2 linked regions of the Arabidopsis thaliana genome follow. The protein of the gene in region 1 interacts with the protein of each later gene in a pairwise test. Each region holds a gene or a part of one and is shown on either strand. Other genes may lie near its edges.

What was found.
Region 2: the proteins of AT1G23750 (region 1) and ISPF interact in a two-hybrid assay, tested with the Arabidopsis thaliana proteins (one large-scale study listed by BioGRID).

What each region holds. Positions count from the first base shown.
Region 1 is NC_003070.9:8,398,263-8,402,370, forward strand, and holds AT1G23750 (Nucleic acid-binding, OB-fold-like protein), read left to right. Parts: upstream 1-1,793; 5' UTR 1,794-1,985; intron 1,986-2,359; 5' UTR 2,360-2,375; coding exon 2,376-2,601; intron 2,602-2,721; coding exon 2,722-2,909; 3' UTR 2,910-3,288; downstream 3,289-4,108. Other genes in the region: AOR (Oxidoreductase, zinc-binding dehydrogenase family protein), read right to left, coding at 1-248, 338-497, 577-900, 984-1,394; JP630 (BURP domain-containing protein), read left to right, coding at 3,880-3,930, 4,068-4,108.
Region 2 is NC_003070.9:23,737,948-23,742,384, reverse strand, and holds ISPF (isoprenoid F), read left to right. Parts: upstream 1-2,000; 5' UTR 2,001-2,048; coding exon 2,049-2,379; intron 2,380-2,468; coding exon 2,469-2,599; coding exon of another isoform or gene 2,600-2,623; exon of another isoform or gene 2,624-2,637; intron 2,638-3,228; coding exon 3,229-3,462; 3' UTR 3,463-3,712; downstream 3,713-4,437. Other genes in the region: AT1G63980 (D111/G-patch domain-containing protein), read right to left, coding at 1-108, 184-344, 432-528, 733-893, 984-1,020, 1,115-1,191, 1,489-1,573, 1,662-1,739; AT1G63960 (Copper transport protein family), read right to left, coding at 3,879-4,201. UniProt on the Arabidopsis thaliana protein: Enzyme of the plastid non-mevalonate pathway for isoprenoid biosynthesis that converts 4-diphosphocytidyl-2C-methyl-D-erythritol 2-phosphate into 2C-methyl-D-erythritol 2,4-cyclodiphosphate and CMP. Is essential for chloroplast development.

The sequences.
Region 1 (4,108 bases):
AACGACCTTCCCTGTGGCATGGTTCGTTTCTAAGTATGAAAAAGCATCAGCAACGCGTGAGAATGGGAACGGTCCTTTGGGATCAACCACAGGCTTCACCTTCCCACTCTCAATATATGGGTTAAGTTTCTTCAAAACATCGCCATTAGATGTAACAACGAATCGAAAACCAGGAGGCGTGACAGCTCCAGTCAATGCCACAACTTTCCCTCCTTCCTTAATCACCTTCACTGCCTTATCACACATCCCTTTTAACAACACAAAAGATGCTCTAATCAGAACGTTTTGTTGCAACAAATTAGATATGTGTTAATGGTGTTGTGTTTTGTTTGTTTACCAATGGCGTCAAAGACAACATCGTACTTGTCAGGCAAGTCTTCTATATTCTCCTTTGTGTAATCAATAGCTAAATCAGCACCTAAGCTTCTCACTAGCTCTAGCTTTTCTGTACTCGCAGTTGCAGCTACTTTTGAAGCTCCATACACGTGCTTCGCCAACTATATCGAACACACATATGAGTAATCAATCAACAACAATTAATCTCTGATTCTTAGATTACAAGGAACCAACTATTACCTGAATCACAAGACTCCCTACTCCTCCGGCACCATTAAGAACAAGAATTGACTTTCCGGCTGAGAATTCAGTCCTAACTAAACCTTCATCAGCGGTTTCTATCGCCAACGGAAGCCCTGCAGCTTGCGCAAAATCGATGTTTTTAGGTTTTAAAGCTAATAACTTCTCTTCCACGGCCGTGTACTCCGCTAAAGAACCAAACTGCTTTGGACCTTCCAATGCTTTCTCGCTCACGTTAGCATAAACTTCATCTCCTTCTTTCAAATCCTTCACCGCACTTCCCACTTTCACCACTACTCCGGCAACGTCGTATCCCGGAACAGTCTACTCCGACGAAAGATTCAAAATGTTAAAGAATCCGAAACCTTCAAAAAGAGTGAGAGAGAGAGATTTGAATTTGCATTTACCGGGAGAGGCGAATCAGTGGCTTTAAATTTCCCTTGCCGTCTCTTAGCATCGACGGGATTAAGAGCCGCCGCAACAACTTTAATCAAAACCTGATCTTCTTTAATCTCCGGCACAACAATGTTACTCTCCAGCTTCAGAACATCAACTCCGCCGTAGTCACTATACACCCACGCCTTCATCTCTTTCGGAATCGAAGCATCCGCCGTGACATTGACCGCCGCTGAAGCGCTCTGAGAGCTCGCCGAGATTTTCAAGAATTTCTTGCTGACTGTTTGCACGCAAGATCCGAATCTAACTCTGTTGATTTGGTAAACCGGCGATTTTGTTGTGAGAGAACAATAATGAAGAAGAGGCGTCTCACGGCGGAGTACGGGAGTTGTGGCGGTGGTTGTTGCAAGCGCTGCGTTCATTTTTCAGTCTGCCACTAGTTTTGTCTAAAAGGCTTATCTCTTTCGCTTTCCTCTGTTTTTAAAATACTCTGTTTCGTGGCTTTCTTTGATTGGTTGATATTTTCTTGTGGTTGTCATTTTAATGTTTATATCACAAAAATTGTGGCCCATAATCGTTTTTGATCTGGTGCTGATTTTGTGATTCATCTTTGTTTCATTTCTTTTAGAACTACAGAAGTCTAGAACAATCACAAAACACTTCGGTTTTTGAACATTACAATGTACAATTTTTACGTAAGAAGATACAATCGACATTAATGGGCCTAAACTTTAAATTGGGCTTTATGAATAAGCCCAACAGTTGAGAAAACGCAGTACTAAAAGTCGATCATCTAGGCACGATGAGATTAACCATAGAAACCGCGCACAACGAAGCACGATCAGTACACGTGTTAAATTATGATTGGGTCCTTGGTAGAGATTAAAGATCCACCGTCCATTTCCCCAGAACTAGAAAAAAGAGAAGGGAGAAAACTTTCTCCGAGCTCGATTGTTTTTGGAAATCGTCAATCAGATATTTCTCGTTCGTCTCCGCCTTCGATTTATCCAAAGGTAAGCTATTGATAAAAAAAACTAAATCCCTGATATTTGATTTTGAATCTCTTATACTCATACATTGCTGTTCATGTGTTGTTGTCTTGATTTCAAATCTGCCCAGCTTTTTGTAATAATGATGCATGCACTATGTTTAATGCTTGAGTTCGATTTCCCTTTGTTTCGGGTTTTGCCTCATTGTTATAACTCGGTCGAAAGTCATCTCCTTTACATGAAATTTCTGTTGTTAAGATTATATGGAATGTCCTTCATTGTTCTGCTTTCTAATTCTTGTGTCAATCTTATCTAAATCTTATAAATCAGCATTTGCATTAGAAGATTTGATCTATTTTAAATTGGTTAAGAAGTGAAATGATTGATTGTCAATGCAGGCTCTTGTTATTGAAAATGGCAGATTCCACCAAAGCAGGGTTGAAGAAGCCAGCTTTCACTAAGGTTGATCAGCTGCGTCCTGGGACTAGCGGACACAATGTCAATGTGAAGATTGTCAGCACGAAAATGGTGTTACAGAAAGGTCGTGCTGATGGTCCTCAAGCTCGCCAGTTGCGGATTTCTGAATGCATTGTTGGTGACGAGACAGGAGTGATCGTCTTTACCGCAAGAAATGACCAAGGTACTTTACTTCAGTCAATAAATCATTTGAAAAACAAAACGTTCATATAACGGTTTGTGTACTTGATTCTAGTAATGTTACAGGGTAGCTAGTAATATCTTGATTTGGTTTTGTGTGTAGTGGACTTAATGAAAGAGGGATCAACTGTAACTCTACGCAATGCGAAAATCGACATGTATAAAGGATCAATGAGGCTAGCTGTAGACAAGTGGGGTCGTGTTGAAGTCACAGAGCCTGCGAGCTTCAAAGTGAAAGAAGACACCAACATGTCCCTTATCGAGTATGAGCTCGTAAACGTCGTTGAATGAGTGACAAATTCCTCGAAATACCACTAGGAGAAACGCCCTCAAGAATAAACAAGTCAAATCCGTAACCGTTTATGTTAGCGTCAAGAAAAGAGTTAAACCCTGATCAGCTGATGTCTTGCACTAAGCTATGTAAGAGTGATGATGGCTCTAAAAGTTGAATGCAGAGCTTTTGGCTTAGGTTATGACTTCGTGATACCTTTTCTTTTGTAATGTCATCATACACGCTAAGGCTTTTGTGCTACATTATTACTCTCTTTGTCTTTGCCTCGTTTCAAAAAATCCATATTCTTAGTGAAGTAAACAGTAACTGCAAGCCTCTGTTGATCAACGACCATAATGATTATCTTTCTATTTTGGGGTTATATATAAAAATAGAAGTTTAACCAAAATGCAACTCGAGATGGGCTTGAATCACTTTGTTAATGATTGTGGAGAAGAAATGTTGTCGTGTGAAGTGATGGGACTTCAAATGTGTGTCATCATTGCGTCATGACTGATGGCTTCTTGGTTTCCTTTGTCTTTTAATATGTTTATCTTCTTACATTTTTATATGTTTGTCCTTGTCACGTATCGGTAATGAAACTTCAAACTTGATATAATAAACGAATAATAGGTATGAATACTAAAATAGTTAGTGAAGAAACAGTTTCTACCAACAAAAAGTAATGTATCTTTTCATGAGTGTTAAGTGGGCAATGTTTAGTGCGTTTAGTCCTTTTTAGTCTTTAGAGCTGTTTCCTTATCTCTTCCTCTTAATCAAAATTTTCTAATACGATTTATTCAGAGATTTTAATAGAGTAAAATGTGACATTTCGGTATTGATTGATTCATAGATTAAAAACTATATAAGCCTTGGTTCCAACTTCCAACTTCCAACTTAGAAATGTGTATATACACACATTTGCATCGATAATAACTCACCAACACTCTCTCTGTCTCCATCGAATGTTTCCTCTAACTCTCAACAAAAATGCGCAAACAATTTGTTTTTCTTCTGCCTTTCTTGTCACGTCTCTACCATGTAAGTCAAACCTAAATCGTTCATTTGAATCCGTTTGTTTCATTTCTCTATAATCGATTCACTTCAGATTTTATTGGATTTGTTTCCGTTTATTCTTTTGATCATTTTTGAAATTTTTGTAACTTCCAACAATGCAGGTAGTTATAGCCGGAGGAGAACGGTTAACTAACGGCGGTTT
Region 2 (4,437 bases), about 15 Mb from region 1:
ATCATCACTGTTATCAAAAGAGGTTTTCTTCCCTTCGTAACGAACACCAGCTATTTTCTTTGGCCGGTCTTTGATACCCAGTCCTTGTTTTCCCGCTGTGGCTTTATCCTACAGACATTCCAAAACGTCAATATATTATTAGATCCCAACCTCTTTTCCAAGAACAGCCTGCAAAGAACATACCTGAACCATGTTGTAAAGATTCTCTTGATCATTCTCACTAAACATTTTTCTCTCGCTAGCTTTTAATTTCTTTTTGCCCGACTTGGCCCCCAGAAGACCACCCGAGACAAACCCGGATTTAAATCCCCACCAGTTCGAAGAAGGTTCTTCAATTTTCTGTTCTGTTCAGTCCAAAAGATCCATACATTTTCAGTTCAAAAAAAAGAGCAGAAAGTCACAATTTCAAGATGCAAGGACAAACTAATCACCTTTAATACTAGCATCTTGGTCCTCAGATATAATTTCAATATCCATAGAATCGGCTATGTCACAAACTGCAGGAGAAGGATCCTCAGTTCGCTTAACCTACAAAACAGTAAAATAACGTGCCTAAGTCGGACTATCACTTTCATAATGAGATTTGTTTACATAATGGTGATAGCAGAGAAAATTCTAACAACATGCACAAGTTCACAGTACATGTAGAAGTTATGATCCATTCTAATCAACATGAATCTTGATCATGAGCGGATAAAAGACAGGACAGAACTGTTTTGAAAGGAAGCTTACCAGTATTCCTTCAAGATCTTTAGACGAGTATGAATTGACAAGCTTCCCTTTCTCTCTACGTTTATACCTTCCTTGTGGACGAGTGACTTTAGCAACGGTCTTCAACTTGGCAGGCTCAGATTTGACAGCATCATCTTCACTTTCATCTTCCTTATCTGAATCTATCGTATGCCACATAAAACAACAATCATTAGGATAAATAAGCTTCTCTAAGTCAAGAAAGAACTCAACTTAATAAGAAAAACTTATACCATCATCATTCTTGCTAGTCTTGGTAGGAGCAGCTTGCTGCAAATAACACACACACATACACAAAAAGATTGAAATTATTTCAAATATTTCAAAGAGCATAGTTAAAACGAAAGATGAACACAGCCATTACCACTTTCAATTTCTTGAGAATGTTATCGAACTGAGTTGTATCAAATGCCCATGGATTTGGCTTATCAAGACCAACACCTGCTCCAACATTTTAAAAAAATTCAGACCTATAACATAAACGATAGATGCATATACACCACACAAATATACAAAAGGCTTAAAGTAGCTCTATCTTGATTCCACAACTTCACATTCACCAAATTACATAAACTAAACTATGTAAACAGACATTTCCTCCTAAAAACCGAAAATAATGTTGTTGTTTTTTAGTGTAAGTGAAAAGTAGCTCTATTAAAGTTTCCTCCAATCTAAATTCCACCGAGAAAAATTCAAATCACTAGTTTCCATTAAGGAGAAGAAGAAGAAGAAACTAACCAGATGTATCTTGTTTGTTCGTAACTCTCACATAACCTTTGATACCTTGCTTATCTTTACCAAGTCCTTCTCCTTCTTCCCAACCCTAAAAAAATCACCAATCCAAAAAATTAGGTCTTCTCCTTTATAAAATCTCTACACACATTAACATCATTACAGGAAAATTCACTCACCATCGATTTCATAAGCTTGAAAGCGGCGGAATCCTTACATATTCCGACGTACTTAACCGGAGCTTCCGGCGCCGCCATCTTCTCTTCTAATTTTCCGGCGATTGAATGGAGACAATGCGTCGCCGTTTTTCAAAAGCGGTGCGGAAGAGAAGAGTGGGCGAGGAAGTTTAGAGAAACTGGAACAGAAAACCTAAAGCGAAGAAGTGATGAGTAAAACTCCTCTACACGTGGTCTTTAGTAAACTTCAGTGGATATGTAACATGATCGACGGTCGAGAGTTTATCATATTTTAAATGGGCTTTAGGAAGGAAAGGCCCAATAAAGAAATGAATATTTCCACCACAGAATTATGAATTGAGTAAACCAGAAAATCGAAGAAGAACGGCAATGGCTACTTCTTCTACTCAGCTTCTACTGTCTTCTTCTTCTTTGTTTCACTCTCAAATTACCAAAAAGCCATTCCTTCTCCCGGCGACGAAGATCGGCGTTTGGAGACCGAAGAAGTCTCTCTCGTTATCATGTCGTCCTTCAGCCTCGGTTTCAGCTGCTTCTTCCGCCGTCGACGTCAATGAATCTGTGACTTCAGAGAAACCAACCAAAACGCTTCCGTTTCGAATCGGTCATGGTTTCGATCTACATCGTTTAGAGCCAGGGTATCCTCTGATCATCGGTGGGATTGTTATTCCTCATGATAGAGGCTGCGAAGCTCACTCCGATGGTAAACATTTCTTGAAATTCGATTTGGTTAATTCGTCTTCTTGTAGATTTTAGGGTTTTGATTTGAGTTTGATGTTGGAATTTGTGTAGGCGATGTGTTACTTCATTGTGTAGTGGATGCAATTTTGGGAGCACTAGGCCTTCCAGATATAGGTCAGATTTTCCCTGACTCTGATCCTAAATGGAAAGGAGCTGCTTCTTCTGTATTCATCAAAGAAGCTGTAAGATTTCGACGCTTACCTTGATGTTCAATTTTGTGTGTATGTTCCAGTATTAGCTACTTCTTCTTTAAGCCTTATTTTGTGTGTGGTACTTTATAGAATGGTTCAGAATTCAAGCTAGATCCATAAGTTGATGGGATTTACTCAGCTTAATAATACTCTTGAGTAAATTATTTTCATCTATAGGAAGTCGAAGAAATATGGAAATCAGATCTTATCCCTGAACTGTTGTCATCACTCAACGATGCTATCTATAAGCTTATCACTCTTGTATACATGATTTTTGTCTTGAAAAGCCTTGGCATAACTCAATTTTCTGTTGAATTTTAGGTTCCTGCATCTTTGTATTGTTAGATTTCAACACATATGATTGATGATAAGTAGAGGTACTCAAGGTTGAAGCTATAAAGTTTCTTTCTTGTCCTGTCTTTTAAGTTATGGGTTCACATTTGGCGTAATGTGTTTGTTAAGTTCACCATGATTGACTGTGAATGTTGATTGCGTGGAAGCTAATCTGAATCACTTGTAATGATGTTATATAGATATAACAGAAGAAATGTTAGATTCTCGTCGGTATGAAGAATGATTCAATAAACTTGAGACGAGGTTTATTTGACTTTGTGTTTCAGGTGAGACTCATGGACGAGGCAGGGTATGAGATAGGAAACCTAGACGCGACGTTGATTCTCCAGAGACCAAAAATTAGTCCACACAAAGAGACAATCCGATCCAATCTGTCCAAGCTTCTTGGAGCAGATCCTTCTGTAGTGAACTTGAAAGCCAAAACACATGAGAAAGTTGATAGCCTCGGAGAAAACAGAAGCATAGCAGCTCACACTGTTATTCTCCTCATGAAGAAATAGAAGTCAAAATTGATTTTAGCTCTTTATCATATTCCTTAAAGTGTCTCATCTTTTAAGAAAAACATACTTTTGATTGTAAAGTGTAATCATCCTTTAAAGGTTAATTAATCGAATCGTTTCGTAGAAGCAGAGAAAATCGAATCATATTTTGTTGATGATTCATTGTGATTCCTAGTTCCTTGGTCAGATTTGAATATAATTGGAAACTGTGTCTTGGACTGCAAGTTCCTTGTGACACAATTTTTTATTTGTCTGTCATATAGTTGTTGCTTTCCTTGTCTACATGAATTCTTAAATCAAAATCAGAGAATAATAATATCATACTGAAATAAATACATCAATGATCAGAGAATAATCCTTACCCGTCAATATAAAATCAACTTCTGACTAATCAGAGACTTAACATACTGCAAATCTTAAGAGATTATACAGCCGTGATCATGATCGCACACAATAGTAGTGTGATGATGCATTGGACAAACCGGAGTGTCATGGTGAGACTGAGACCGGTAAAGAGCTTCTTCACGTTCACGTTCACGTTCACGTTCATTTTCTTCTTTCTTCTTCTTTTCCGCAGCTGCAGCGGTTTCCGCTTCCTTCTTCGGATCGAACGGGCCAAATGTAGCCATTTTCGCACTCTCCCATCTCTTTTTGAGTTTTTTGAGAATCTGCATTTCGTCAAACTCACCAATCACCGTTAACTTCCCTTCTTTTGAATCCATGGTAATAGTTGTAATTCCTGGAATAAAAAGTGTTAAGATTTAGGTCTTGAGACTAAGGAAGATCTTTTCAAGGTGGTAGGTTCTTTTGAGATTTCAATTCATAATCCATAAAGAAAACCAAAAACAGAACGTATTATTATTATTCAAAGCTTTGCAGCAAAAGCTCATTAACAAGAAGAAACTTAAACTTAAACTCACACTCAAACTCAATAATGAGTGATTAAAAGATTTGGTTTTTCACTAAATAATCATG